4 linked regions of the Saccharomyces cerevisiae S288C genome follow. The gene in region 3 interacts genetically with the main gene of each other region. Each region holds a gene or a part of one and is shown on either strand. Other genes may lie near its edges. The genes, in order: ECM33, CHS7, SHE4 and LRG1.

Region 1 (7,666 bases), on a different chromosome or scaffold from region 3:
TTCCAAAACTTTTGACGGATGGAAATGTAGAGGATGACAAGTTGGGGACAAAAGACGAACTGTCTGTTTCTATTAGCTGTTATTGGGGAGAATATGATTCGGAATCGGTTGTAAATGGTACCGCTGTTAGGAAAATTCCAGCATTTGATGAATTGATAAATTACGCACCTCTAAGTTTTTCCTTTACCAACGAACAGAAAGGATTAGTTATTGTCAAGGATGCTATAATTTTATAATTCTAATTAGTTTTAAATGTAAATTTTTATAAACTCAAATTCGCCTACTGGGGGAGTTGTCCAAAGGCTTCGCTTCTTCCCACAAGAAGAACAAAATAATAAAAAATATTTTGAGAAATTTTTCGTAACAAAAGGAAAAACTATTGAGTTTAACTTATGAATGTACTTTACTGGCCAAGAATCCGTCTGGAACCATTCTACGGTGCTCTCTTCGTAGCGCTAAAGACAGCTATAGTGGATATTCAGACGGTATTGAAAATCACTAATGATATCAGTTAACAAAGTAAGAAACATGTTTCGTCAGATAAGTTCTACACTGCTGCAAGTGCATACAATGCTCGTTTTTATAAAGTCCTAAATTATATAACCCTCCAGTAACTATTAGAAAATAGCACGCAATAATGCTAGCGATATACAAATAACCTGTAAATCTATATATTTATTAAGTATAAAGATAATGGTCTTGGAAATGGTTCTTCAGGGATTGTGATTGACTATAGCCGGATATCGTTTGGATCAAGAGCTTGGTTAAGCGGATATTTAAGTTATTTTAATATATCGCTTTGTCCAAAAGCAAGTTTTGGAGGTGGGATCTCAATTTACACGATACAGTATTAACCAAATCTTGATAGCAAAAAAATGCAAAATATCGTATAAGTGAAGGCAAAGCATTGTCCAATGTAAGGTTCTGTGCCGCCCTTCCCTTTTTTGAAAGCTGCTAGATATCATTGTTACCCTTTTTAATTTCTACGCTATTCTCGGACGTCATAATTTTATAGTTACTGACACTAAAAAAAGGGTCGTACGTCTTACTGGCAGCGCCGAAAAATGTTTCGAAAATACACCTTAACACATTGAAGTAGTGATGATTTCATAAAAAACCACAAGAATTTGTTCGCTAATACATTAATTCGGTACTAGACTTTATTGACTCGTATATTTCTAACGAATAAATCACCCACTCTTGCTATCCTAACAGTATTTAATATTAGCTATTTAAAAGCCTTAAGATGGACTATGGCTACTTTTTTCCCGCACAACGTATTGAAGAAACAAATGGTGTGGATTTTTGGATAGACAGTAATGCTGAATTTACACAGTCTAAAAGACCTGACTCTTCAACATCCACTCTTTCGAGGGTTTTAACGGACACCACGAATGTATCCAATAATAGTGGATCACTCAAAAGAAAAACCATCAAGAACAAAATATTCCCACAAAGGAAAATATTCAACGATAGCGAAAATTTTGACTTTGGTAAAGCCAACACTGATTGTAAGCATGTGTTTAAAAGTATTTCTAAGCAACTGATTTTTCTTCCAAGGTGTTTCCAACATCACAGTATCCGAGGCTGGATGAAAGACAGATACTCCGAATTTGGTTATAAAATAAAAAGAAATCAAAATTGTCCCCCCTCAGCATGTGTACAGGCACTATACAATACTAGTAGATCCAATACCGAAGAGTCAAACCCCAACAGTCTGGATTCTCTGATAATGTATAAATACATGCGATACTCTGAAAAGAAAAAGGAATTGATGTGCAGATTTTGCCAGGGGAATAATTGGATTCTAGCTGAAAACTACCTAAAACATTTATTCTTTGCGCACGGCATTTTGTCTGAATTTAAGCCTCACACTTTATACCATTTCGAGTCTAAGCTGTTAAAAATCCAGGGAAAACTTAATTTCAAAATTCAAGTATTAAAAGAGCCAGAGTTTAGCAAAAAAATTTTGAACTCTCTTACTGTATCCATCATTCCCTCTCCTTTGGCCTACTACACTCAAACGTTGAACGGGGGATTTAGGAGAATCCATGTGAAATGCCCCCACTGCGAAAATTGGATCCGTTTGGGTTGGTGTGAATACGATGAAATCATTAGGGATTCCTTTCAGGATTTCGAGTCTCTAAGAAACCTCAATGCTGATTATAATGGGATGTCGTATATTCAAACACGCAATAGAGAAGACATTGAAGGTATATACGAGAATTATTTTACACACTACATCCAATGCGACTTAGCCACGTTCCGAACGAAATGTTTATATGTCCAAGTTATAACAAAAAGCAATTGATTGTGTACGCAAGATATTAAAAATAAATGATCATATAACAAATCAAACAAAATTTGCCGCTAGTAACGAACTAAACGATTACGAGACGGCTGATAAATACTAATATTCACCATCCTAGCGAAGAAACGCTTTAAATTTATAACGGTTACCATCCAAAATAATGAACATAAGCAGATCTGGCACCGTAGCAGCTCATTGGGGAAAAAAAAGCTGTCATGTAGGGCCCTCTGAGCATAATAAAAAAAGAAGATGCTTCCGTTCAATAACAGCGATAGGTAGATGGGGGAAAAAAAGGAGAGGAAGATGAGGCCCTTATGTACGTGCATATATATGTGCGAGTGCACGAAAGTGCACCACGGCAATCCGCGTAATCAAGCTTATGTAAATGGCGTGTCTGCGTAAACTCTGTCCCTGCGAAAATGTGTTTATTTATAGACTGTTCGCATTGTTTTTTCCAGCCCCCATCCGGAGACGCATGAAAAGGTGTGGCCTCGATACATATTGTTAAACCCATCAACCTAGCTTGTAGCCAAACAAATCAGTCAACTCTCTCATAGCTCTTTCAATTTTAATTACCAGTAGTCCGTAAGGGAAGCTACCTTCCGCAATGAACAATAGCAAAAGGTCGCTATTGGGTATCTGTGCGACACAGGTATGTAAATCTTCCATTTCGTAAGTATATATTTTTGTCTTAAAGGAGTCGATTTCCACAGGGTAACAGCTATTGGAGTGCTGTTCCTCAGTATCGTTTTCATCCTCTGACCACTTATCCTTAATCAATAAGCTCATCATTTTCAAGTTATTGACCGAGTTTATTTCGTTTATGGAATTTTTCGGTACATCGTTGTTTGACGTCGCATAGGACAGTATACCCCCATTAGTGGCGGTTATAATCATAGACGATTGCAAAGACGATGTCTTGAAGTCTACCGAATGCAAATCATACGGTTTCAAAGTGTTTTCCAGAAACCCTTTAACGTTTTTAGAATGGAGCATCACCATATTGCTTCAATATTTTGGATACCGTTTGCTGCTGATAACTGCCTTTTTTTTTTCTTCTTATCTTCCCTTAATTAATTCATTAGAGTCTTTTTAGCTTATATGCCAAATGAAGCAATTGTTTTTCTTTTTCTTCGTCTCTCTCTCCATATTCACCTGTTACCCAGAGGGCACCATTCATATCATTATCAACGTAAAATCTGCGAATTACCGTAAACCGCAAAAAAAAAAGGATGGCGGGCAGTATCATCCTTCACGACCCGGGTGGCTGCTGCGCCCTCGCGAAAAAGAAATGAAATGGAGTGCAAAAACGGGAAAGACGCGCCACCGTTTCTGGCCCACGCGCTCATTCTCAGTGGCCAGGCACTAGAGACAGGACTGAAACCGCGTTACCACAACAAACAAAGGCAACGTGCAGTAAACAACCATCCCTCCTGGGATCGAAATCAAAAGTACAAACCTCAGATCGAACTGAAAAATTTTCGGTAGCGTGCTTGAGCCGGTATAAATATTCAATGTCAAACACCTACGACTTTTCGCAATCAACGGACCTCTCTTGCATTTTTGTATTTAATATGTGAAGATCTTTCCTCTGCATTTTCTTTCCTTCTTTATCTTTCTTGGCTTTTCACCCTTTCTCTTCTTTTTAGAACATCATCTTTGAGTACTTCGGCCACTTTTAGAAAAGAAATTAAATAAAAGAGTTAATCGTTCATTCGCTTCTACACAGTTTAATCTTTTCCATTTTTCTTTCAACAAGTCCCTTTGAGCTATCAAGAATACGTTTATTTGACTTTTAAAGATCTAGTTTTAATTTTACTATTATTCCGCAATGCAATTCAAGAACGCTTTGACTGCTACTGCTATTCTAAGTGCCTCCGCTCTAGCTGGTATGTACACATTCTCCTTTTTTTTCATCTTTTTTTCTTTATTTGCCTCTTTCCTCACAAATCTCGAGTAGATTCGTGGTCCTCTTCATTCTTTTCTTTTTTCTTTGTCGATTACTGGGCTTTTTTTCATAGGTCTCGATTGACGCGGACGGACAATGCGAAAAAAAAAAATTTCCAAAAGAGGAAACGGGTTTCGAGATCTCGTGAGGATGGTTTTGGAATATTCTTCAATATTTCTGCCTGTCATAGGATTAGGGCGAGTAATGAAACAGAATAATACATGTATAAATCGATCGGGAATACTAACACTACTTTTCTTTATCTAAGCAGCTAACTCAACTACTTCTATTCCATCTTCATGTAGTATTGGTACTTCTGCCACTGCTACTGCTCAAGCTGATTTGGACAAAATCTCCGGTTGTAGTACCATTGTTGGTAACTTGACCATCACCGGTGACTTGGGTTCCGCTGCTTTGGCTAGTATCCAAGAGATTGATGGTTCCTTGACTATCTTCAACTCCAGTTCTTTATCTTCTTTCTCCGCTGACTCTATCAAGAAAATCACCGGTGATTTGAACATGCAAGAATTGATCATTTTGACCAGTGCTTCTTTCGGTTCTTTGCAAGAAGTAGACTCCATTAACATGGTGACTTTGCCTGCCATTTCTACCTTCTCCACCGATTTACAAAATGCTAACAACATTATTGTTTCTGACACCACTTTGGAAAGTGTCGAAGGTTTCTCCACTTTGAAGAAGGTTAATGTTTTTAACATCAACAACAACAGATATCTAAACTCTTTCCAATCTTCCTTGGAAAGTGTCTCTGACTCTTTACAATTCTCTTCCAACGGTGACAACACTACTTTGGCCTTCGACAATTTGGTCTGGGCTAACAACATCACTTTGAGAGATGTTAACTCTATTTCTTTCGGTAGTTTGCAAACTGTTAACGCTTCCTTAGGTTTCATTAACAACACTTTGCCAAGTTTGAACTTGACCCAATTGAGCAAGGTTGGTCAATCTTTGTCTATCGTCTCCAACGATGAATTATCCAAGGCCGCTTTCAGTAACTTGACTACTGTTGGTGGTGGTTTCATCATTGCTAACAACACACAATTGAAGGTCATTGACGGTTTTAACAAGGTTCAAACTGTTGGTGGTGCCATTGAAGTTACTGGTAACTTCTCAACCTTGGACTTATCTTCTTTGAAGTCTGTTAGAGGTGGTGCTAACTTCGACTCTTCTTCCAGTAACTTCTCCTGTAACGCTTTGAAGAAGTTGCAAAGTAACGGTGCTATTCAAGGTGACTCTTTTGTTTGCAAGAACGGTGCCACATCTACCTCCGTTAAGCTATCCTCTACTTCTACTGAATCATCCAAGAGCTCTGCTACATCTTCCGCTTCTTCTAGTGGTGATGCCTCCAATGCTCAAGCTAACGTTTCAGCTTCCGCTAGCTCTTCTTCCTCTTCTTCTAAGAAGTCTAAGGGTGCTGCTCCAGAACTTGTTCCAGCCACTTCATTCATGGGTGTCGTTGCTGCTGTTGGCGTTGCCTTACTATAAGATTAAAGCAACAATTTGTGTTTCTATTATTACTTTAATTTCTTCTCTAATGATTTCTTTACCATTCCTTTTTTATTATGAGACGGTTGGTTCATCACTGAATTTTATATGTAGATAAAATTTTAGTGTCGTTAATATCTCTTTTATTTCTTATTGTTACTATATTATTACTGTTTTGAAGTTCCAGTTTCATCAACTTTTGCTACCTTAATTAAAAGAACCACTCAGACTTTTTACCATCCTTTAGCTTTACCTAATATAATGAAATTTGTCTAAGTAACATAAAAAAAAGGAGTAAAGAAAAAAAAAAAATAAGTAAATGAAATAAAATATAAAAAAATTCTTACTACGGTTTAAAACAAAGTGCTCTTCCGCTAACGTTTCAAGTTTCTAAAGAATCGTTAGGGCCTTTTAACGGATCGCTTTTTTAAAACAGTAAAACGTTATTTATAGTTATTTATACCAACTATTTCTCGAAATTCGTTTTTAAAATAACTGCCATCTTTACTGCTCTTCTGCTCCTTCCTTTGACATGAAAAAGCAATCAGAAAGAAATAGTCTAATAAATTGTTATTATGTACACATACTCTTATACGTATAAAAAACGGTATAAATTAAGTAGATCATTTTGCGTTGTCTGTTACCTGCCCCCCTTGGCCAATCTCTTGGCTCTCAACTTTTCAGCCATAGTCATTTTCTTTGGACCAGAAGATGGAGTTGGGGTTGCTGGGGTTGCTGGAGTAGCTGGAGTAGCTGGGGAGGACCCACCAGCTGTTCTACCGGCTAGTCTCTGTTCGATGGCTTCTTCCATTTCTCTTTGTTTTTGAGCGATCATATCCAATTTAGCTTTATCTGGAGAAACGGTCGCCTTTGGTAGAGTGCTTGGTGTACTTGGAGGTTCCCTGTTTCCTGCGCGGAAAGAGTATGGAGTTGATTTCTTGGCAGCAGCTTCTTCGATTTCTCTTTGTTTACGGGTAGCCTCAGCGAGTTCTTGAGCACGCTTCTGTCTTTCAGCATTTGCAATTTCTTCCTTACGCCTTGCAATGGCTTCCTCGTAACGACGCTTACGAACTTCTTCAATTCTGGCCTTTTTGGCAGCTTCCAATTCAGCCTTCTTTTGGTTGCGGATGGCAGCTAATTCGCTTTCCTTAGTGCCCGAAACATGCTCCTTGAACTTCAAATAATCATCATAGACCATGACCAAGTTCTTACGATCAGCCATTCTGGCTTCGTATTCGGCCTTGGCGGCGTCGACAATTTTTTTCTTCATAGCTTCATAATTTGCTGTGTCTGTTTCTTGTAGCTTGTCAACTTCTTTTTGCAGCAATGGCAATTCGACCTTTCTCAAAGCTCTTTCCGTATGATCTAACTTCTTCATAGCATATTCCATACGACTTTCCAATTCACTCTTGTTCTTTGATACCTCAGCTATAATAACCTGTTTAATGGTGTCAAGATCTAAGCTTTTAGCTTCGTTAGGGTCAATGTAAACATGTCCCTTAGCATTCACCTCAGTAATCATCTTTGTGATTTCTCTTTCTTTGATAGCTTCAAATTCACGTTTCTTCTTTTCAATTAAGCGACGGTGAGCCTCTTCTTCCAATTTAGCTTCAATAGCAGCTTTTTCTTCCAAAATACGCTGTTGTCTGACCTCAGCATCCTGTTCAGCATGTAGGGCAGCATGTTCCATATGTTTTTGCTTTTGCTCTTGAGATCTCTTGACACGTTCGTCAACAATCTTGGAAATCTTTTCAAGGTCATCCTTGTTCTTCTTAATTAAAGTTTCACGGGCAATTCTAACCTTTTCCATGTATGAAGCATTGTTGAAACTGTCAACATCGTGTAGGACATTGGATAATTCAAGCAACTTGTTGTGGATGTAAGAATTGCGGATAATAACAGGA
Region 2 (7,301 bases), on a different chromosome or scaffold from region 3:
CCTTCGCGAGACATTGTTATACTTGTGGACTTTTATTCTTGGGTACGTTCTTATTAAATGTTGGTAGAATAAGTCGATGATGTGGAATACTCTTCACTTTTCTGATTCTAAAATCTATTTTAGATGTTAAAGAAATGAAAAAAAAAAAAAAAAAAATTAAAATTCAGAAAAATCATATTCTACGACCGCAGCGTTATATAACGTTACATCGGTGAGGCTAATTGTAGCCTTACCTGGTAATGTACAATGTCGTGGTCATGAGACAAATGTCAAATAGGAAGATGCAATGGAGAACAAATTTGACACACATGATTGAATCATTAAATCTACGGCAATATTTTGTTCTTATTTAGTGTCTCTTTCTCCATATCACTGCTCATATCAGGAAAAACTGTAGATTCTGACAATGTACTCGCCGGAACATTTTGATATATATAGGTGATGTAATTTCCATATGAAAAATACTAAAGACTTGTGATGAATTCATGAAATGAGTGGGGAAGAATCAGTATCCTTAGTAAGAGGTAACTAATAAAATTAAGTTATAGTATACACATTGTATATAATAGTTGAAACTACAAAATGAAAAGATCATGAGAAAAAAACAAAATAAAGAAATTAGGAAACTTAGTCGTTATAACAACACGAGGAAAAATGAATAAATAATACTGTCTTTTTACTATTTTTAACAAAAAATAATGGAAAAAATACGCCTGAGAAAACAAATAGAAAAGAATGCACCACCATTATGCCTAAGCGCTAAATGGTAACCGTAGCATAAATTGTGTTTGTACTAGTTATAGTGGTGGCGGCATCAACGGATTGAGACGGGTTAGTTAAGTAGACAGTACTATAGTAGTCATCATCATCATAAAAAACGTAACAAGTGCCATCCGAGCTGGAGACGGATATCGATTGCGTAGAAGACGATTCTAATGGCATGGATGTCGTTGCTCTAGACGTTGTATCTACGCTAGAAGAGGGTACCAGTGTAGAGGTAGTTCTTGCTATAGTGGACCCTGTTTGGGATGACTCAACTGCGGAAGTGGAAGACGATGACGCCAAAGTTAGTTGAGAGTTTCCGCTTTTTGAGCTCGATGGTGCCAAGGTAATAATAGTGGCGAAAGAAGAAGAAGAAGAAGAAGAAGAAGTTAAGGAAAGAGGGGCAGATGATGATGATGTTGAAAATGATGAGGATGATGTTTCAGAAGATGAAGATGAAGAAAGTTGGGAAGAGAAAGGTGCAGTAGATGAAACAAAAGCAGAACTAGAAGTCAAACGAAAACCTGAAGACGCAGATGGTTCGGCTGTAGCGGAAGATGTACCTGACGATTCGATACTTTGAGATGATTCGATATCGTATGTAGAGCTAGAGGATGTTGAAGAACCAGATGAAATCGTTGGACTGATAGTGGAAACAGTAGAAGTAGAAACCAATGAGTTTGTTTGAGTAGCACTAACTTGTTCTGAAGCTGACACCGTTGAAACCTCTGTTATCTTTTCAGTAGTGGAAGAAACGACGGAATTAGCTAAAGTAATCGGATATACCCTTGTAGTAGTATATGAAATCGTTTTAACCACAACCCTTGCCGGCGCAAGAGTCTTTGTGTAGACAGCATAACTGTAAACAATACCATCAGAAGTAATAAGTTTGACTGTTTCCCCATTGCTGTTGGCTTCAATTAAGGTGAATAAAAAGAATAAGATATTGAAAATTGTAGAAAAATTAAATTTCATTTCTTTGTAATTTGTTAAAGGAGTGGCTTTATTTCTACTCTGTGAAAGAGATCTGTGTTAAAAAATATTAAGGAATGACTGTGGTTAGCTCTACTGAAGAGTTACAATAAAATGTAGTAAGGAATGACTAGAGTTAGCTTAAAACCCGAAAATATAATTCAAAAAATAATAACGCTTGAGGGAGTGGCTTTAGTTGGAATTGAAACAGTATATTCTTTGTTTCAGGCTCGCTGTCTACTTAATGGAAGTCGATATTGCTGGTTTACTTGAAGTTTTTCAATAGACATCGAATAAGCAGAAGAGGAAGAATGAATGAAACATTAGATAAGTTTCCTCTTATATACCGAGTATGAGTTAACGAGTTTCCTGTCATCTTTTGGGAGAACTTTTTACATTAACAGGCAACCAAGACATTGCTGGTTCTTTTATGTTTTGTTTTTCCAATTTAAACGAATGAATTACTGGTTCTTATTTTATTCAAACGATTTTCCAGATAATCTATCCCCTTTCTTCTAAGATATTCCTACAACTATCAAGCATTGTTCACAGTTCTCTTTTTTTTTTTCAGAATACATTATTTACTTTTCGCAAAGTATTTGTTTACATTCGGGCAGAACTGTAAACAGAAAAGAGACCAGCGGAAAGGCCTAAACCCGCAGCGTTGCGAAAATAAGATGATGCTTTTCGTAGAACCCTCTCATGGAAAAGTAGTCATGAACATATGAGCGACTTTAAAACATTGGAAACAGATTAAGAAGTTTTGTTTTCAATTGACTAAAGAAGGATAATTTGTCATCTTACTTAATAAACTACGGGAACGACCATCACGTTTCTTTTATGGATATGGTTGTTTCCGCTGATAAAAGAAGTCACTACGCTGATTGACTGTCAAAGTGTACACAAGCCGTTAAAACGTGGAAACGGCTACTTTCACTCTTTGGTTTGTCATAGTCCTGCTTATTACATTAAACTAATAGTATACACCTATTTTCTATATATGGTAATAGAAAAAAGAAGCATTTCACATAAATCCATTATCATACACCACGTCACCGTCCTTGCTAACACTTACACCAAATTCCAAGTCGTCGTCGGTAGTCATATCCCAAGTCTTGTAAACCATCATTAATGTGAACACATTACAGATGCTTCCAAAAAAGAGGCCATCTAAGTAGTGCTTGAACCCTTCACAAATTTGTGTAGAGAAGGCATAAACCAATACCTGGCCTGCTACAAAGAAAAATAGCCCCAAAAAGATAGCTCCTGTGACCCATAAGTTTCGAACTACCAATAGGGATACCAGTAATTGACAAATAACGAAAACGAATAAGAAAATGGCGTTTATTATGTAAACGACGACAATCATCCCTGAAGCGTTCATTGTTGCTACTTTATGGTCGGTGATCCATGCTTTGAAGGTTAAAATAGAGGCTAAAAAATTGGCTATGAATCCTAGCATGGACGTTCCACGGACCAACAGCATGGACTTTGTAGTCCCATCTTCCCATAAATTGAAACCTAAAAACCCGATTATCAATAAGGCCCAGCAACATGCACCCGCCAGTCCTATTTGTATAGCCACGAAGTATGGATATGACCCAGAGCCGGGGGGAGATACACCACAGTCTACCACCAAGGTAAATATTATCAATAGCAATGTTAGTTGGAAAAAGTAGAGATATTCAGACCTGCCAATAGCAGTATACTTCTGTCTTATGTTATAAAGTATGATTAAAATGACACCTAGAGCACCAATATTTATGAATGCGTTCCCGACATCAAAGATGACTGTATTGGCAAGATCAATCGACCGAGCATAACAGCGTGGCAGTACACCGACATTCAAATTTAAAGGATCAAAATCATGTATAATTGTTGAGTTCGAAAGTATTAGATGGGTTTTAGACTTTATTACCGAACATAATGGCAACGGGGTCTTTGAGCATATGGCAGCAAAATCACTAAATGCCATATTATATATATATCAGCTTTTGTATTAACAAAACCACAATTTTTGATAATAGTTTTGATGAAATAAACTTTCCACGTGGAGACAGCTTTGAAAAAACAGTTCAAAGTATGCCAGTGTAGCTTTGACTTTTTTTAATCTTTTTAGTTAAGTTATGCAATATGCTATTTTTATACCAAAATGGATCCTTTTTGATTTCGTGTCTTGTGAAACTTTTTCAATATTTAACCGTTTTAAGAAAGCGAAGCGGGCAACACCAGAAGAATGTCAATAACTTACTGTAACAACATAAAACATGGCATTTTAAATAGTACTGCCAAAATTTAATGCAATGGCAATTAGTTGGCTATGTTGCTACATATTATTTTCCATAGCATTCTCTGTCACAAACTTCAAAATAAAAGACAGTGACATCCGAACATCCGATACACCCATACATCATGAAAATAAATCCTGACATTGGAAGAAGTCTTGATACAAAAAAAGATCGCTGTCAAAAATGCGGCCAGACTGCCGCTGCATCGTACCAACAGTGCGTATGTTCAGACGGAGAGACGACCTCTAGAGAGACGTCCGTCGGTGCGGCAACGCTGACGGTTTAGTTGTTCGACGGGATGATGGGTTCCGCCAGGGGGAGGGAAGGCTTTCCACCAAGAGAGGTAAAATTATTCGTCGAAATGAACTCAGAGATACATCCATATTGTTGACAATGTATATCTTAATTGATGTGGTATTTTCACTGTTTTAACGTAAATTGAAGGAGATTAAGCAAAAAAACAATCAGTAATAATGGGTATGTGGACGATTAGGAATAGACAAACCATGTTATTTATCTCCATTAGGGCGTGAGAGTGTAATTAGTACACAGGTACTACTAGAATGCTAAAGAACTTTTTAAAATATCCTGAATCGTAGGGCAAATCCATGTCAAGCAAGAAACTAATAGTTATTAAACTTCATTTACTTTTGAGCTAGTTAAATATTTTCATCATTTCCTAAAGTACTGAACACCTGAATGATACTTTTATTGGCCCTTTTAATAAGAACTCTGGTTAGAAAATATATTGAGGATATCATTAGTAATACTCATTAGATATTTGTGAATTTAGCCGTTTCCCCATTACAGAAAAAAGATACAACTAATTACATGTGCAGTCAAATTACTTTTTTTTTAAGATCAATTACTAACAATCAACTATCATGCTAAATTTGCTGTGATATCATTTTGAACCAGTTAACGTCCCAAAGACCAGAAAGACCTACTGTAAGGGTAAGACCTGTCGTAAGCACACTCAACACAAGGTTACTCAATACAAAGCTGGTAAGGCTTCCTTGTTCGCTCAAGGTAAGAGACGTTATGACCGTAAACAATCTGGTTTCGGTGGTCAAACCAAGCCTGTTTTCCACAAGAAAGCTAAGACTACCAAGAAGGTTGTTTTGAGATTGGAATGTGTCAAATGTAAGACTAGAGCCCAATTAACCTTGAAGAGATGTAAGCACTTCGAATTGGGTGGTGAAAAGAAGCAAAAGGGTCAAGCTTTGCAATTCTGAGAGTTGTTATTGTTTATTGTTTTATTATATTTTTATAGTTATACTTTGACCATTAACTTTTTGTAAATTTTGCATACTTAACTCTTTAATATTGAAAACCTGCCTATTTGGCGTAATTTTTCATCCTGCCTTTGAACCTGTTGTAAACGTTCGCGTTGGCAACCATGATAAGTTAACAAGACACGTAGGCGTTCGCACTAAAACACAGCATTGCTACTAAAGTACGTTACTAAGAACCAGTAAAAATAAATATGTATAAATAAAATGTAGATACAGCTGATTCCCAATATCTCATTTCAGAAATGATCAACACCAGGCGCCCAGCAACGTTCAATCTATCTACGCTTCAGTACTACTAAAAGTGGGAAAAACGTGGGCTTTTAGTCATTCCCTGCAATTTTAAGAAAACTGCATATACTAGTAGTACATTCGCGATATAATTATGATGTTGGCCTTTTTAAAACAAAAACCAAAAGGAATTTGATTATAACAAAACTAAAGAGGTGTGGAAAATTAATACAAACCTTCGACTTTTTATAGTGCGGTTCCTACACTTTTTTTTTTTCCCGCTTACCCTGGTGATTGATTTTTTGGGTTCCGTTGTAGGGCTAGCACGAAAATAAGAATTAAGTAGCAAAATTTGAGATTTGCTCACTTTACATACAAAGAGCTTAAATAGTAGTATACTAGTAGTAATGCTAATTCTTATCACCTTTCTTTGCCGACTTCTTGATGTATTTTGGCGGAAACTTTTGATAAAATACATAATAAGCCCACGTAATAGTAGCAACAACAACAAATATAATCGACTTGTACGGCTCGTTCACGTCTAGAAACGGGTATGGATAGGCTTGGCCTTGCCCCGCATCTATCAGGAATGCTAAATATTGAAAATATGAAAATGCTAAACTGGTTACAATGAGCCATGCATGCTTATTCGATAATTTGAATTTCGTGCCAGATCCCGATAAGTAGTGATCGGCTAGTAAATATAAAATAGGATATAAGTGGATTGCCATATCCACTGTCATAGGAAAAGGTGTCTTTGCAGTAGATTCAACTCCATGCATTATTAAGTTGACAAAAAACAATCTAAGCGGCCAATAAACGGTAGCAACAATAGATTCTAATACTAAAGAAACTGGCAAAGTGACATGTCTACTAATAAAGTCTGATTTTTTCTTGGTTTCTAGATTCATCTTATTGTTTCTTTGGATATAATAATTAGAAATGTTAACCGCGTTATTAATGATTGTTGCAATAATAGATATAATGGTTAGAAACTGTTTATGGCCTGCTTTACTTAAACTTGGAGGTAAGACTACAGATGTGGCCCTAACAAACCCCCAGGTGCTCGTCAAAAGACACGCGGTGTTAAGGGTCAAAGTAAAACGTGTTGGTACCAGACAAGACATCATGGATTCTCCTTGTATTATGGTTTTAAAATACGAGAAAAATTTGCTAAGAATACAGCAAGACTAGTGTAGAGATAATCACTGACATATAGAAAGTGACTTATATAATTCGAGAAAAAAGGGACTTATATACTTATCGGAGATCTTTTCATTAAATGCGAAGCGCAGACTTCTCTAATCCGCGGATCTTGTCAAATTTAATGAGCAAGTCTGAAAAGGAAAAGAGAGCGATCATTATTTTTAATTGTCGCTTAAACAAAGGATTATATGTCACTTCTGCATGCGTTTCACGCTCTGTTTTTAGATGCTGCAAACAGGAACCTCTTATAGAATTTGTATCCCCAAAAATGATAGCATTTGTTCAAATAGATGGACGCTATTTGACAAAAATGTTAACATGTGACATTCACGTCAGAAAAGAGGCCAAAGAAGGAAGAGGGTACCAGCAAATACATAAACTTTCCTAAGGAATAGGTTAAGTTCTTTTATTCTGCATGTGTGGATGCTTAAGGTCATTTTAACGAATGGGTCCATTAGCCCCGCGCCTTTTTCAGGTCAGCGAACGCTTATAATTCCAAGCCATCTCATGTTATCTCATTATTTTAATGTGAGCGAATATGCTTTTTTTT
Region 3 (7,384 bases):
ATGGTGGTCGCACTTGGACCTTCAGGAATCATATCACTATCTTCAACACCTTTACTTTCACTGGTATATATAGAGTTTTCGAAGGGTATCAGATTGATAAATTTTGCCTTGTGCTCCTCCTTGATTAAGATGAACAATTCAGGAGTCGTGATTCCTTTTAATATCTGGAAGAACTGGACAATCAACATAGCCCCCAGCCAGATGAAGTTTACGCTAATCCAAATGAATAAAAAAAAGGTAGAGGGATCGTAATTAGAACCCTTACACAAAGTCTCATTCTTGAGCAGGGCACATCTTGCATATTCTTCAACTTGTTCGTAAATATAGTTCGTTTTCTTAAAATATGCCAGACATAACCACATGAACAAAAACATGTGATATTGGACCGTCACAGCAAAGAAGACAAAAAGTTTGTGATTTTTTAAGCCAACATCATTATAAATCCATGGACAATAATGGTCATATCTGGCCACCAGGGCGCCGCTAAAGAAAGAATATTTACTCCTCAAAGGCTTCCTTTCTAATGTCTCAACACAAAAGTTTTCCCTATCAAACTTCCCTAAGTCAATCAGTTGTTTTATTGTTTCTTGTATCGAAGTCAAACTATCATCCGTTTTCAGACAACCAGGATCTGACCGTACTAATCTCAGAAATAGTACAACTGTGAGAAAGGAAGTAACCAAAAACTGGACGTTTTTCATGGTATAGTCAGATACACTATATGGATAGAGTTTCTTCGTCCATATATATATTAAAAAACAGAAAGTGGACAGAAAGAGGCCACTGAAAAAGGGAGTTCTAGTCAAAGAAACTTTGTAAGTGTTTTTTCTGGGAAGGCATGGTAATACAAACTTCTTTAATGTGTTGACCATGACAACAGTGACCAGTAGGGAAAGCATAATGGCTAGCACTGGAGAAAGAACGAGAGAAATTAAGTATATGTAAACCATGAGTAAAAATGGTGACAAAAAAATTGTGAATTGTGCATGCGAGCTTTTCTTGAACAGTTTGTCTTTCTGATTTCCAAGCCTGTCATATCCATGATGTTGCAACGCTTGTTCAAAAAGTGATTTGGTTCCCATTCCTTCGGCTAGATCAAAACAGTCTTGCTTCTGGTTATTCCTTTCGTAGAAATTTGCACCGCTAAGTATTAAGTCACATATGACCCTTTGATCACCTCCAACTAGAGCACAATGGAGAGCATTGAACCCTCTGTTGTCCGTCCATGCAACTGTGGAGCCAAATTTCAATAAAAGTTCTACAGTGAGAAAATCTCCTTGATAAGCAGCCCAAAGTAGGGGTGTTCTGTTATTGTTATCTTTTGAATCGATATCGACGTTGTCATTGTTGTTTACGACAAAATAAAGAACATAAACAACAAGTAAAATGTTAGAACTGTAAACGCTAAAATGCATGATGTTAAGACCCTGCTCATCTTTGAGCGTCGGATCAGCGCCATGTTTGAGAAGCAGGTCAACAATGTAGATATTACCGTACCTTGCGGCCCAGTGCAAAGCAGTAGCCCCTCCGGGGCCTGCCGCCTGGTTAGGATTTGCTCCCCTAAGTAATAGGAACTTTGCTACAGAAAACCTATTGTTTATACAGGCCCAGTGTAAGCCGGATAATTCATCAATGCGGTCGTTATTAATATCCACTGCTCCACTTTCGACCACGTCCTTCACCACTTTTAAATCCCCATCCTTAGCGGCTTCAATGAAAATATCAACCACATATTCAGTGTTGGATCCATCGCCTAGAAGTTGCGCTTTGTTATTGTCCGAATCACTTACAGCGTGTTGAGCCACATCAGTGACAACAGCTGCCCCATTAGAAGTTTTTTTCACGTTCTCATCATCAATAATTGACATACTGGTCATAAGAAACAGTAGAGTATTTCACAGGTAATTAAGATGTTTATCTGACCGATGAACTTTACAACTTGCTAGTAAAAAGTTGGTGGAGTTCAGTTATTATTAAATGAAAAATGCAAAGTTTTGACGCTTTCTAATTGTAAACGACAAAGTGAATGATAAAAAGATCGCTGAACGAAAGATGATTCCAAATACTCAAAAATAGCAGCCATACAAACTGGAACTACTAAATTCAACTAAGATTAAGCGATTAAGAAGTCAGGCTCGTTTAACAACAAGCTTGGTACATCCCAGGCTGCACGAAGTCGTAACTTAAAAAAAAATAAAGAAGCGAAAAAGAGAAGATCATTTCCTTTGGCATCTATTGTTTGCGAAGCCATCGGACCGAGGCACCTTTGAAAAAAAAAAAAAGGAGCACTTTCTTCCTTTTTCTCTCACCCAGATTCTTTTAGAACACGTAGGGTACCAGACATAATTTAGAGTAGTGTGATACTTCTGGTGTAAAAATAGAACAAAATATATAAAGGGCACCACTACCAGAGGATATTCTCTGGCTACGAAAATCTTACATAGTTCTTGTGTGTTCATTATCAGGGTGCTGTTGTATTTCTTAGTGAAAATTAAGAAGAGTTAAACATGGCGATTCTTTCCATATTAGACTTTAATTTTAGCAAGGATAACGGGAATTGCCGCTGAAAACTCTGGTCCTGAATCGCCTCTCTTTAAAGACATATTTAAAGCATCCTTTAATTTTTGATTTTCTTGCAGCAACGGATACACCTCGTTAGTGCCATTATCCGGTATCACTTCGAATAATCCAAAAAAAAGCATAAGTAACCTTTGTCTTAACTCAATGTCATCAATTTGATCCGCAAATACCTGAATAGCATTTTCGATTAGTTCTTTCTTGGTTAACAGTTCCTTAGCTATCAATGGAATCGTGGTGGCAATGTTAGCAAAGATAGCAGCCACTGCTCGTTGAGACTCAACGTCGGATAACTGAAGAAGTTTCACCAATATATTAAAATTTCTCAAACTCTGAGGATTTTCCAAGTTAAAGAACTTAGCAGCAATCGTTAATGGATGACTCATCATATTACTTATGAGCTCTAATGTTGATCTTTGCAAAGGAACGTTTTCGTCTAGCATCAGATTCTCAATCGTGGACCAATATACTTTTGTAGATACGATATGCTTGCAAACTTCTTCACCATCAGAGGTCTCCGATGATGCCAAGTTCGTCAGAGCTAATAGTGCCTCGTAATTGTCTGTCAGCTTTATTTGTTCGTCGTTATGTAACGGATTGTCATCCACTGGCGTAGACCTTGGCAACAATTCGAACAAGAAGGGGATAGCGTTTAATGCAGAGTATTTTTTAAATATCAAACCCGGATTAGTGAATATTAGCATTCTTGTTAATGCCCGACACCCTAGAATCCGTATTGGCTCCCCTATGTCCTGCTTATTGGCCAAATATTCTAAGATGATAGTTGTACCACCTTGTGAAATGCATTGAGGAATGAAGTTTTTCGAGCGGGTTATGTTATATATAACCCTAACCACTTGTTGTTTACAATTGGGGCTCAAATTGTGCATTTCCCTCTTCAAAAAGGAAATCAGCTCGGTCCTTAATATGTACTTTTCGTTAAACAAAAGAATATCTTCCTTTGATTCTTTCTCTGCGCCTACCTTGTCTGCGCCTGGGCCCTTCAAATCTGCGTAATTTTTTAAGTCATTGATAGACTGTGAACTACCATTGGATTCCTCTGGTAAAGTGGACAAATTTGCCATGATAACTAAGAGACCATATAAACAGTGCGTCATTTTCTGGCTTTTAATCATAGTTAATAGAATTTCAGTAAAGCTCTCGTTACTCCTAATCATAATCTTAACCGAGGCCTTTAGACTTAAATATGCCAGCGCTTCAACGGACATTTCAACTTTAGGAACCTCCTCGAGCTTAACCGCACTTTCATTGACATTTTCAATTTTTGGCATGATACGTCTTGAAATAGCGTTTATAAAGATTTCGGACAGTTGCTTCAAGTTTATACACGTTAATTTTGTGAAAGACCATGTCTTAACTAACACCAATGCAGAATATATTTGTACATCTTCCACGTTTAGTGATCTTTCCAATAGTTGAAGGTAATTTTCTGTAATATACGTTCTCATGGTCTCATCAATACACGCGGAAGATAATAACCGCAGCAGTTCTTTTGTAAACTGTAAATCCTGCTCTTCGAATACTCTCTTCTTAAAAAGCTTACTTAGTCCTTTGGTCAAAAATATTTCAGAACAAAGTGTTGTCAATGAAGGATATAATTCTGATAGGGTTTTGACTATGATGGACAATGGATCATTTCCAACGTCTATTTCTGCCTCCACAATTAAGCTACTCATGAAATCGACCACTGCTTTATCAAAGTCTTTTTGGAAGCTTGATTGTAATTCAGCAAAAATTATAAGCATCATCGATTTTACTTCATCTTCGCTTATGCGCAAAATAAGTTCCTTCACTAAAAATCGCACCTCCTTGAAATTGTACTTGAACTTATTCAATAGTTGTAGAATTATGCTCAGTAAATACGTGACGTGGGTGTCCTCGCCATAGTGTATCCTAATTTGCAGCTCATTTAACAATGCAATTGTTGCGTCTTTATTGGAAAAGCAACCAACGAAAACGTGGATGGATGATCTTGATAATATTTCAAATAAATTGAGTGCGAAGGGAATATCATTCTGTATAAGTTTAGATAAATGTACGCGGGACTCAGAATGGTCTTGGTAAGACCTGGTCAATATTTCTTCGATTTTCTGACGATCTTTAAGGGCTTCACTATTCGTTAAATCAGCCGGCATTTTCCCAGATTCAGATTTTTGCCTTAGCTGGAAAATTGTATTTATAGCATCATTGTATTTTTGGACATCAGGGGTGGATTTCAAAGTCTTGTCAAATGCAGCGCAGAGGCTATCAATAGTAGAGCTATCGATTGGATCATTCCCTTTCTCACACAGTGGCATCGTGATTCTAATTTTTTAGTAATCTTTTCATGTGAGTAGTTTAGATAAAACGTCTTCACTATTAAGTAGAAGATTCGTAATTGGATTTAAGCCTTCGTGCCTTATCGCGGCTGATAATCATCATGATCGACGATGAACTACTGCGCCAGAGTATAATCCCCTATAAAACAGGCCTGCTATCACTCCAAAGAGAATGCTTTTATAGAAGAATATAACGTAAATTACTACAATAATTGTGTTGAGATGTCGGAAGACGAATTTTTTGGTGGTGATAATGAAGCCGTTTGGAACGGTTCCAGATTCAGTGATTCACCTGAGTTCCAAACGTTGAAAGAAGAGGTTGCTGCAGAGTTATTTGAAATAAATGGGCAAATAAGCACGCTGCAGCAGTTTACCGCGACACTTAAGTCATTTATAGATCGGGGAGATGTTAGTGCGAAAGTTGTGGAAAGAATTAATAAGAGATCTGTGGCAAAGATAGAAGAAATAGGCGGGCTCATTAAAAAGGTCAATACATCAGTGAAAAAGATGGATGCGATTGAGGAAGCTAGCCTGGATAAGACTCAAATAATAGCGAGAGAGAAACTTGTGAGGGATGTCAGTTACTCTTTTCAAGAGTTTCAAGGTATTCAGCGGCAGTTTACCCAAGTAATGAAACAAGTTAATGAAAGAGCAAAAGAATCTCTTGAAGCAAGTGAGATGGCAAATGATGCTGCTTTATTAGATGAAGAACAAAGGCAGAATAGCTCAAAAAGTACTCGAATACCAGGCAGCCAAATAGTCATTGAGAGAGACCCGATAAATAACGAAGAGTTTGCTTATCAGCAAAATCTTATCGAGCAAAGAGACCAGGAAATCAGCAATATTGAAAGAGGTATAACGGAACTGAACGAAGTTTTTAAAGATTTGGGAAGTGTTGTTCAACAGCAGGGTGTGCTAGTTGACAATATTGAAGCAAATATTTATACAACGTCAGATAACACTCAATTGGCTTCAGACGAGCTAAGGAAGGCCATGCGGTACCAAAAACGTACGAGCAGATGGAGGGTGTATTTGTTGATTGTGCTTCTCGTAATGCTTCTTTTTATTTTTCTCATTATGAAATTGTAAACCAAACCAACACACGTCGTCAAATATCATATACATAATATATACACTTAAAACAGATTCGTGTTAATGAACTTGTTTTGCACTTTCACTGTACAATGCATGGGCTCTCTCATAATATTTCTACGCCGTCGCATCTTAACCAGCCGCAAAGAGAGAGTATATTCCATAATTCAGTTTTTCGCCTTTCCTTGCCCTTCTGAAATGTTGTTAATATCATCATACCCTAATGAAGAGTGAAAATTCACTTAACCCAAGTGAAAAATACAACTTCGAAGAGTGCAACGTGTTGAAAGAACCCTTCAAAAATAGAAAAGAGGAAACGAAAAAAAGAAAAAGTAGCATGCTGTGGAAAAATTATGTTCTATCCAGTTCCCGAATAACACGTAGGCTTCATAAGTCACCTAGAAAGAGCAGCTTCTCTAAGAACTTTTTTATCACAGGCTGCCTACTGACAGTTGGAGCAGTAAGCAGTTATTTAACCTACAGGTACACAAGTGAGAGGGAAAACAAACATGAGTTATCTCCATCTTATTTTGTCAAGTACAAGATTTCACACAAGCGAGATATTGATTCATCACATTTTTTATTGGAAGTAACTCCGTTGTTTAAGCAGAAAGTTAACATATGGTCATTGATGACTGCGGAAAATCTGTGGTCCGTCGAGATCAAACAACCGGAAGTCATGGTGGTCCGCAATTATACGCCTCTACCGCTTAAATTTAACCCAGCTTCAAAAGAGATTGAAATCTTAAAAGATGGTGACAATGCAGATGGAAAATTATCTTTCTATATTAAGAAGTATGAGAATGGAGAAGTTGCAAGATGGTTACACCATCTTCCCAAGGGACATATAATTGAAATAAGAGGCCCGTTTATCGATTATGAGTTTCCTCATTTGCCTAATGAGCTAAAAAGATCTCGCGATTGTTTATACATGGATAATCGCAATGAAAGGGGCAATAACGTTAGAGAAAATTCCCAATTTATTTACCAGCCTTATGACATAATGATGTTCACCGCTGGTACCGGAATAGTTACTGCGTTGCAACTACTTTTGACTGAATCACCATTTAGAGGTACTATAAAGTTATTTCATACGGATAAGAACATTAAACAACTGGGACCCTTGTATCCTATCCTTTTAAGACTTCAAGCTTCAAACAGGGTCCAGTTAAAAATTTTTGAAACAGACCGACAAACTAAACAAGACGTATTGAAAAGTATCCAGAAATCAATCACGAAGCCCTACCCATACAAAGGTCTGCTCCCCTTTTCCAACGTTAACAACAAGAATATTATGCCTGTGTTGGCATTGGTATGCGGCCCCGAAAGTTATATTAGTAGCATATCTGGAAGAAAATACGATCTTAATCAGGGAC
Region 4 (8,969 bases), on a different chromosome or scaffold from region 3:
AAAGTACACAATAGTATTGAAGTGAATAGATTTTCTTCTACACCTACAAAGCTCCTCACGAATCCCCACAAAGTCGCAGCAATCTCAAATGATGAGCATTATGTTGTAAGCAATGAGAGTCTGGAGGAGAATATAGAGGTTGCGCATCTAGAGAACGTATTTCGCTCATCTAAAACTCCAGATGAAGAACAGTCCGAATATATGAAATTAGGAGAAATTAGGCTATCTTCTTCATCATATGGAGGAAGTATTTCTAAAGAAAATAGTTTACCCAAGGTATTAGATGAGCTCCAGTCCCAAAATGAAGAGATCAAAGCACTAAGACAAAAACTAGAAGAGAAGGATGACAGGATTCAAGAACTAGAAGAACTTAATAGCATGAATGATGCTAAACTTCAAAGAATAGAAGACTTGCAGAAGGAATTCCACAACGAAAGAAAAGCTGCATCAAAAAGGCTCAACATTGTTCAGGACCGGTTTCGCAAAGAAATTAAAAAAATTAGAGAAGAAAAAATTACAGACTTTCAAAACAAAAACGCTAGCAAGAAGGAGAAGAATGAAGTGACTAGTGCCAAAACTAAATGTAAAGCTTTTTCTCAAAGAAATATTTTAGTTTCGGAACTATACAGGAAGCAAAAACAAATCCTAAACTTGCAGCAAGAAAATGATAAATTTCTAAAAGATATTAACGAATCGAATAACTCTATAGTAAAATTAAGATCTGAAGTTGAAATACTGAAAAGCAATTTGCAACTTTCTCAAGATGAAAATAAAAAATTACATGATAATGGTTCGTTTTACGAGAAAAGGTTAAATGATGTTTACAGCTATATGCAAAATCTTTCTCTTTTTGAGAAAGACCTTGGTAAATTCATACTAGAAGAAATGAAATGTGGCCATTCCCCTTCGATGTTTCAAAACGGTTTTGCCAAGCTTTATCCGGATTTTCAAGATATCAAAAATCTTGAAAATATGGAGCAATACAAACAATTAAAAGGAAAGATAGAACTTTTGGAAAAGAATGACCGTATACGTCTTGAAAAAATCATTTCTGTCTTTAAATTGATTAATGAAAGATTACATTTTATGCAACAGCAGCACAGTCACAAAATAAAATATCTTCAAAAAGAGGCGTTAACAAAAGAACAACAATTTCGTTTGGAAAAAAGGAGATGGCATGATATCCTGAACCTCAAGGAAGAAAACTTTCAAAAACTGAAGAGCGAGTTAAAAGAAAAATTAATACTAAGTGAAAAAATTCAGAAAAATGCCGAAGATAAATTGAACGATTACATGAATGAACACCAGGAAATTGTTGAGAAACTTCAGAATCAGGCTTTGATTGCTTCAAGATGGAGCACTCAAATTCAAGAGTCAGAAAACACACATAAGAAAATTACTGACGAGTTAGCTGGAAAACAAAGTGAAATATTAAAACTCGAAGAAACAATTCTATCACTAAAAGAAGATGTATTCCAAGAGAAGCTGAATTTAAAAAAACTATATGGTGATCCTTCTACCGAACTTAATTTTGAAACTGTTGGAAAATCTTTTCCACATATAACGAAGGAAAAGTACGACTCCTTGGGTCTTGATATTCTGACAGACCTTACCTATGTGCAATCGCAAAATCTAATCAAAAATTTATTAATTGTGTTGGATATCCCATTAAAAACCTTCTTAAAAATTGTACCAACAATTGTCATTCAACTTAGATGTGAGCTTACACTTCTCACAAAATTTGCTAATGATTTGAACCTTAAGGTTTTTGGTAAACAGTTAGATTTCAAAAGTAGAAGAAAGGTCGCAATGAATGAGTTTTTGAACAATCATGATATTGCTGAAGTAAAGCATCCTCTTGAGTATGATTTGCAAGCGTTGTTTAAATATTTCTTTTCTTAGCTTTTTTTTTTTTATTTAGAACTAATATATTCAATGGTGTCATTAATTATTATTTAGAGAATAAGTTACTGGTGGGGGGTGCACCTAAAATAAAGTCACATAATATAGAGCATGGCAGATATTTTACCGCTGGTATTGCTTTTCCGAAATTTTGGTGGAATATTCTTCTGAAAGATTTCAATTTGCTAACAGACTTCTTAAGCACTTACAAGAACAATGTAACTTCTGATCTGCTGTTGGAGATGTTCTGAGATATAAACAAAATTTACATCAAAAGGCGAGTAATACAATGATACAAATGATTATAAGTACATACTAATGTTACAATTTCTAATTCCATTTTAGTCAGAATATACTATGTTGTATAATAATAAAATAATGTCCATTTCCATAGCATACTGGTAAGATTTTATTGAAATAGGCAAAGAAAAAAGCAAAGAACTCTAATAAGAACGACAAACCTCGAAATCTGAGGGGAAGGAGAAGAAAAAAAGGAAAATGAGGGGAAACTTACAGTTTCTGCCTATTATTTGTTTATTTCACCTTGTATGACCGTTGTGGTCGAATCTTTGACTGTGACAGGAGTTTTTATGTCACATTCGGAATAATCGATTGTTTTACTTTGCATAACGGTGGAAATAAAATGGTTGATTGATTCGTAGTTATCTAATTTTTGTAACTGCACATCTTTTAAAAGATTCATTAAAAATTTCGGAACCATTGCCATTTCTTCATTGTGAGTAATCAGGTAATCAACTATCTCAATAGCCAAAAAGTAATTTTCTCCCTTGTTTTGAGCGAATGAATCAACTAAACCTGATTCTGGTTCGTCAGGGACGTTATCATTGGAAATTTCTTTATGTCGCAAATATAAAATATTAGGTGTTATGACTGTGGATAAATTGTGAATGTCCATTTTTGATCCCATTTCATTCTCAATGTAAGAGAATGAGGACGTCCAATGCAAAAATGACAAAAGTGCCTCCAGTAAATTGCGATTGTAAGTGGGTAATAAGGAATATATTAGCAATATAACACGCTGTTTCTCATCCTCTAAATCAATTTTCGCGGCCTTAATCCATAGTTCATATAAGTCTGTCGATAAAATCGGTTGGGGAAGCTCTCTGATAAATTTCTTCAAAAGAGCAGATAATTGGATTGCATTTTCTTTCGAGAAGTCTGGAGCTTCTGTTGGATTACTGTCGATGTTAGCAGTTAGTTCTCTCAGTCTTCTGATATTTCCATTTTTCCTGAAAATACCTTCTACTGACATATCCATTTGCCTCAAAGATGATATTAGCTCGTCAATAATTATGGGGATCCTAATCTTCACTGGCCCCACACCTAAATCGGAATCAACACCCCATTTCTCGCACAACACATCTAAAGGAGCACCAAAAACAGTCTTAGTGATGGGCTTTTTAGGCTCCATGCTCATCATGATTTTCATTCTGTTCCAAAAGCTACCTGTGACTTGCTTTTCATTCGAGAAGACCATTGAGACTAAGCTAGTATAGTTAGGATCAGTCTTCGATATCAGTTGTTTACCAGCTAGCAGTGACAAACTGATAGCCCTTATCATCGAGAGTTCCATCGTACTTAATTCAGAGTAATAAACTCCGCTTTTCTTGGGAACAACATTCGAAGTTTCGTCATCGGTTTCTTTTAGTTTTTTAAAGTGTGCAAAAGCGTTAGGTCTTAGCTCCCTTGCTTGTTCAGCGGCAACAATACGTGAAATATCATCTAGTGTCAACGTCTTAGTATTACTGAAAACATTTTCACGTGTGCTCACTTGTTGGCTCGATGATGGGTCATCTGTTTGAATCACAAGATTTTTACTATCTCCTTGTTTTGTCGGGTCATTTAAATCTGTCTCTGCAGTTTCCAGTATCACTGATTTTCTAGCTTGTTGTTTGTTATGAGTGACCCGAACACTTTCTCTTCTAGATCTCAATCTTTTAATATCATTCAGTGTCCTAATGTAAGTTTGTTCCTTTAGCATAGTACTCTGTAAAGAGTTTCTGCCTACCTTGTTAGATGCTTTCGATTTCAACATTACAGTTCTTGATTTGACTAGGGCAATTTTTAGAAGAAAAATTAGTTGTGCTAGCTTAGTAACAAATTTGAAACCCGGCACAGAGGCCGGATCATCAATTGAGCAGTGAGAACATAGTATCTTTTTTTTCTCTTTATTAAAGGTGGGATCCGTCAAACTCCTCGGATTTATATTCTTATGGCATGAAGAACAAGTAAAACAAGCAATATGCCACCGGTGCTCATAAAATTGAATGCATTCCTCCTGTATGTATTTATTGCATCCAGCGCAACTATCTGTGGCGTTAACAGGAGTCTTTATATACTGAAACGGGTTATTTTCAAAAAGCTCATTTTTCTCTACTTCTCTTAAAAACCTCAACAATGGATTAACAGAATGAGTCAACTTATTGTTTTCTAGAGCCGTATATAGCCCAAATCTTGTTAACAGTTTTAGAAAATGGGCTAATCCAGTAATAACAGACATAAAAGATGAAATTGTGATAGTTTCGTTTTTGTTTTCTGTCCCTAACTTTCTTAAGAGTTGTAAATATATCATAATTTTTGTGGACAGATTTTTGGGAAACTTGCTGTATTTACTGGCCGCCATTGCGTTGTTTTCAATGCATTCTTGATCACTGTTAACTGGCATACTTTTGTTCGTCGAGAGGTTTAAAGTATCCAGTCCCCGGAAAAGACAGTCGATTTTTAGTACCAACAGACCCGTAGACTCTATGCCCTTTAACTGATCATTGCTTGTCAAATATTGAAACATATCAGAAATGCAAGAAGCTGCCTCTTCCTCAAAACGATATAAAACCGACCACGTTTTAGATAGAATAAAGTTAAACGCCTGCATTTGTTTATCTAACTCGTAGGCAGTTGGGTTTATATCTTTGTCTCCGGAATTTGGGTTATATTCCAGCTTGGGAAGGTACTGCAAACCAACAGTTTCTGCTGCTAAATTTACATGCCAATATTTATGAATTCCATAACATTCCGGATGCCAACAATGTATTTCTTCACCTTTAGGAAACTCGATATATTGATCCGATATTGGGAACTCGCACCCTTTGCAACGTTTCGAAAAATACTTGAGAAAGTGGTACTTGCAATACAATTGGTTTCCGTACATGAAGCATTTTTTAACCCCACAAGGAGTAGCACATATTGTACAAGAAAAATGCTCTTCGTCGTATCTGTAACCGAATGCGGTATAATATAATCCACGCAATGGGGTATCACATACATGACATAACAAATTATGTCTTCTAAAATAATCGTATTGGCATAACAATATAGATTCACTTGTCTTGTCTACTTGATATGGGAAGTACTTCGGTTTTAAAGGTTTCTGACAGTCTTGGCAGGTAAAACAACTTTCATGATAATATTTACCGAGAGCCTTTAAAGTTGTTTTAGTTCGTTGGCTATCGGGTATAACTAACTTGTTACAACGGGCGCATATTTTCTTCTGATTCTTCACCTGCACGGTCATCGGAGATGCAGTATTCAGCGATCGATAACCAGCAGAATTTTGAATCATTGCTCACCTCCGGTACTTGTTGTTTGATAATTTGTCTGCTCTTTTTTTCTTTGGATTTGAATAAATACGGTTGCGTATATCTGGGATAAAGGCCAAATAACAATGTTAAGGCAAAGACGGATACTGTTTTGAATGAGAAGCCCAATTGCTGGTTTCTAGCAAGAACAGCCTTGGTTGGCTCGAGAGGAATGATTTACATATTTTAAATTCTCAAATGACGTTTCAGATTCTGTTCTTATTTGTTTTCCATTTTGTTTACATCTTCCGTGCCCATCAATACCCGGCATACTTTGAAGACGAAAAAGATACTTACATAAAGATAAGGATATACTCGCCAAGATCGATTTCTTGAAGTAAATACTTTGTGGGGAGGTGTTGTAGCGATGGGCTAACCTGCAAGCATTAAGTTATATTTACTAGTGAGGTACGTTGTAGAAAAGTGCGTTACAACGAGAAGTAATTCAAACGTAAGTAGCACATGCGGGCTTCTTGATATATTTGCTAGCTCAAAAAGCTAACTGAGTACAACATGGGGGCCACCCATGTTGATTATGTTCTGGTCGTAAAGTGATCTTTTACGGGTTATATTGTTTGCCCATAATTTCAGTTTTGAGGTGCCTATCGCTTCTTCTCGTTTTGTTTTGGGAACGTTTGAGTATTTACTTTATAGTGCACTTTTTTGCGTTTTCATCTCTTGACTGTTCGAAAACCAATGTTGGTGAAGGAAATAGCTAAGTATGACCTCGCCTTAAACCAATCTTAGTATCCTGTCTCTTTGCCACAGCTATTTCCTACTTCCATTAAGATCAATTTCTTTGCTATTGGAATCACAGGCGACTTAGAATGCATTTTCTATACTAGTAATTCGCAATTTTCTTGTTTTCCACAACGGTTTAATACTAAGCAGATGATATGACAATATGGCAAACATGATATACAGAAGAGAGCTTAATGGGACCAACTAAAGTTAGATGACACCATGGTCCAATTTTCTGAGCATGAACAACGGCAGAACAATAGCTGAACTGGACCGATTTGATTTTTGAACAGGAAATCTGTAATTTTTTATGCTTTGTTTTATGTAGCGATTTTATGATTATTGTTAATTATACATCTCACAAAAGCCAAGAAGAAATCTGAAAAAGTGAGCCCACACGTAGACTATTTGACGCTCATGAAAGTTGTCAAGCCTTGTGTTAGCGTTAACGTACTTCATTTAAAACATGGCCGCTTCGTGAGAAGTGGAAGCATAGTATCGATATTTTCTATAATCTAAATTATTTTAGTGCCCATAATGCAGTATACTGTATCGTATAGGAGTTCTGACTTGCTAATGTAACACAGTAGACTTCACCTTCACTTATGGATACCATTGGCTTATTAAGACATCAGAGTTCATTAAATGAATAGTAACAATCCTTGCGCAAAAAAAGGCGTCGATGACGCACTTTTGCGTTCAAGTTTTATATACTTGGAAAGCTATGACTGATGAGACGGACCTGTTTCGCATAGAAATTCGGTGCTTAACATGTAATTGCACCTTTGTTTTTGAGAAATCCATGAATTTCGCGGTAAAGGCTCGATTAATGATTATTCTATATATATGTACTATAAGCCGATTATCGCAGTTTTTCCAGCCTCCTTAGTAAATTACCCACTGTTTTAAGATGAGTCCTACTGACGGGTTACATTTTTATAGTCTTTCTTCTCAGGCGACCCAAAGTTCTGTCTGACTGTCTCGTATTATATGTAGAAACGATAAAAAATTATATGGTGGCTACTGCGACCACCAATCCAAAGTGTCATACCTTGAGAATTAGACAATTGTATACAACACTAGCATGAACAGTATGGTAAATTTGGCGAGAGAATGAGAAGGCCTTGTATTATGTATTCCCGCATTGGTTTCTGTACCTTTCCCTTGCAGAAAACCACATGCATAAAAGTCGCTTGCCACATAACTCGCATTTGTGAAGCCATGCGAACCACACGTAAACGTTTCAGGACTTTCAGCAGGCTGCCCAGTGAGAAATGTATCATAAAAAATTGAATAAGTTGGGTTCTTTTCTTTAGCAGTTTTCTTTCCTTCAGCTACCCCACAATTATAAATTTCTGTCGGCGTATAGGTTTGATTAATATAGCCCTTGCTACCGCACTTAAACAATAGAGCATTTTCAGTTACGTTCATTTTTTTGTGTCTCTATTATAGATTTTTCTTGGGTGTGATGCAAAAATCGCTGATAGGAATTATAATAAAGGAATATATATATATATATATATATATATATATATATATAGGTACTAATTGGCTTTTCTTATACGCCTCCTATTGATTCACTGCCGAAAGTGCCCTGTTATATACGACAATCATACGCCTGTTTGCAAATAGTCAACATATTCAACTCGGAAGGTAAAAGATGAAAAGGCAATTTTTTTGATTTTCTAAGAAAATGCGCAGCGGGCAGAAGGGTCTTCGCAGGCAACTGAGTAAAGAATATGAGAAAAGCCTCTAAATGTTGAACCCTGAAAAAGTTTCATCTATTTTTGATAAAGACTTTTCAATAGTGCAGGATCACGCAAGAAAAAAAAAGGTCCTTAAGAGCAATTGTGGGAAAATATAATACAATGCTTGCGTTAAAACTTCTAGTTACCTTTTACAACCGAAAGTAAACACTAGCATGGGCTTGGAGACGAGCAGCGCAAATTATATAGTTTGAGATAGAACGCTTTCTCCGGTATTGCCTGGGGAAAAGGAGTCACATGATTAGAATCGGCGAAATTTTTTTTCCAAAATTAACAGCAGGGTTGTCTGGATGTTTTATTGAAAATAGAAGCCAATGACAAACACAAGAGGCCAGTAGTATATTAATTTTAATGTGCATTCTAAAGCATCCTCACGTCTTTCAATCTGAAGTTACTGTTCGAGAAGGAGAAGAAAAGAAGGAAAAATGAAGGATATGAATAATAACATGAGTACTAGTTACGTCCAATCTGGTCACACCATATATTGATGCATCTTATGCGCCATAACTTCTTTTTTTGTAGCTATAATTTGTTGCCAGAAAAATGAAAACTTTTCAAAATCAACCAGTTTCCAATTTTTCTGCAACTCGTTATTTATGAAGATAGATGATGATTGACCCCCTTTCTCCAAAAATCGATGCAGCATTGGGTTATTTTTTGAGCTTTCTAATTATAGGGCCATTTTCTAGCAAGACTGTATAGCACATGCTCGCAAAGAACATGGCGTAATGTTCATAAGAAACAAATTTTGTAAGTTTCTTGTGCCTTTTGAGTTTGAAATCATTGACCAGAACAATGAGAACTCTAAACACGACAAATGGATCTTAAATCAATTTTCTTGAAAACATCTTCCAGTTTCGATATTCGCACATTTGCCGGTAAAATAGTGCAATCTGCCTATACCTTTAAAATGGGATCTTGAACGCGTACCTGAAGGTTTTTTTAAATAAGGCCGAACCTAAAT

Evidence for each region.
Region 1: mutations in SHE4 (region 3) and ECM33 together harm fitness more than expected from each alone (negative genetic interaction), as found in Saccharomyces cerevisiae (2 studies listed by BioGRID).
Region 2: mutations in SHE4 (region 3) and CHS7 together harm fitness more than expected from each alone (negative genetic interaction), as found in Saccharomyces cerevisiae (4 studies listed by BioGRID, with this or other methods).
Region 4: mutations in SHE4 (region 3) and LRG1 together harm fitness more than expected from each alone (negative genetic interaction), as found in Saccharomyces cerevisiae (2 studies listed by BioGRID).

The regions. Positions count from the first base shown.
Region 1 is NC_001134.8:388,981-396,646, forward strand, and holds ECM33 (Ecm33p), read left to right. Parts: upstream 1-4,142; coding exon 4,143-4,200; intron 4,201-4,530; coding exon 4,531-5,762; downstream 5,763-7,666. Other genes in the region: PFF1 (Pff1p), read left to right, coding at 1-236; ECM8 (Ecm8p), read left to right, coding at 1,247-2,311; SLM4 (Slm4p), read right to left, coding at 2,825-3,313; RPG1 (translation initiation factor eIF3 core subunit a), read right to left, coding at 6,403-7,666. UniProt on the Saccharomyces cerevisiae protein: Required for proper cell wall integrity and for the correct assembly of the mannoprotein outer layer of the cell wall. Important for apical bud growth.
Region 2 is NC_001140.6:379,946-387,246, reverse strand, and holds CHS7 (Chs7p), read right to left. Parts: upstream 3,710-7,301; coding exon 2,759-3,709; downstream 1-2,758. Other genes in the region: DNA-directed RNA polymerase core subunit RPC10, read right to left, coding at 1-14; DSE2 (Dse2p), read right to left, coding at 760-1,737; 60S ribosomal protein eL42 RPL42B, read left to right, coding at 4,496-4,499, 4,941-5,257; YHR140W (uncharacterized protein), read right to left, coding at 5,956-6,675; YHR139C-A (uncharacterized protein), read left to right, coding at 6,828-7,139. UniProt on the Saccharomyces cerevisiae protein: Chaperone required for the export of the chitin synthase CHS3 from the endoplasmic reticulum.
Region 3 is NC_001147.6:395,210-402,593, forward strand, and holds SHE4 (She4p), read right to left. Parts: upstream 4,896-7,384; coding exon 2,526-4,895; downstream 1-2,525. Other genes in the region: putative palmitoyltransferase AKR2, read right to left, coding at 1-1,877; YOR034C-A (uncharacterized protein), read right to left, coding at 2,217-2,459; SNAP receptor PEP12, read left to right, coding at 5,139-6,005; CYC2 (oxidoreductase), read left to right, coding at 6,346-7,384. UniProt on the Saccharomyces cerevisiae protein: Required for mother cell-specific ho expression. Might be required for the transport of factors (such as ASH1) that promote HO repression from the mother cell into its bud.
Region 4 is NC_001136.10:19,336-28,304, reverse strand, and holds LRG1 (GTPase-activating protein LRG1), read right to left. Parts: upstream 5,483-8,969; coding exon 2,429-5,482; downstream 1-2,428. Other genes in the region: ADY3 (Ady3p), read left to right, coding at 1-1,902; YDL241W (uncharacterized protein), read right to left, coding at 7,299-7,670. UniProt on the Saccharomyces cerevisiae protein: Acts in signal transduction. Activates CDC42, RHO1 and RHO2. Negatively regulates 1,3-beta-glucan synthesis. May be responsible for the down-regulation of CDC42 during mating.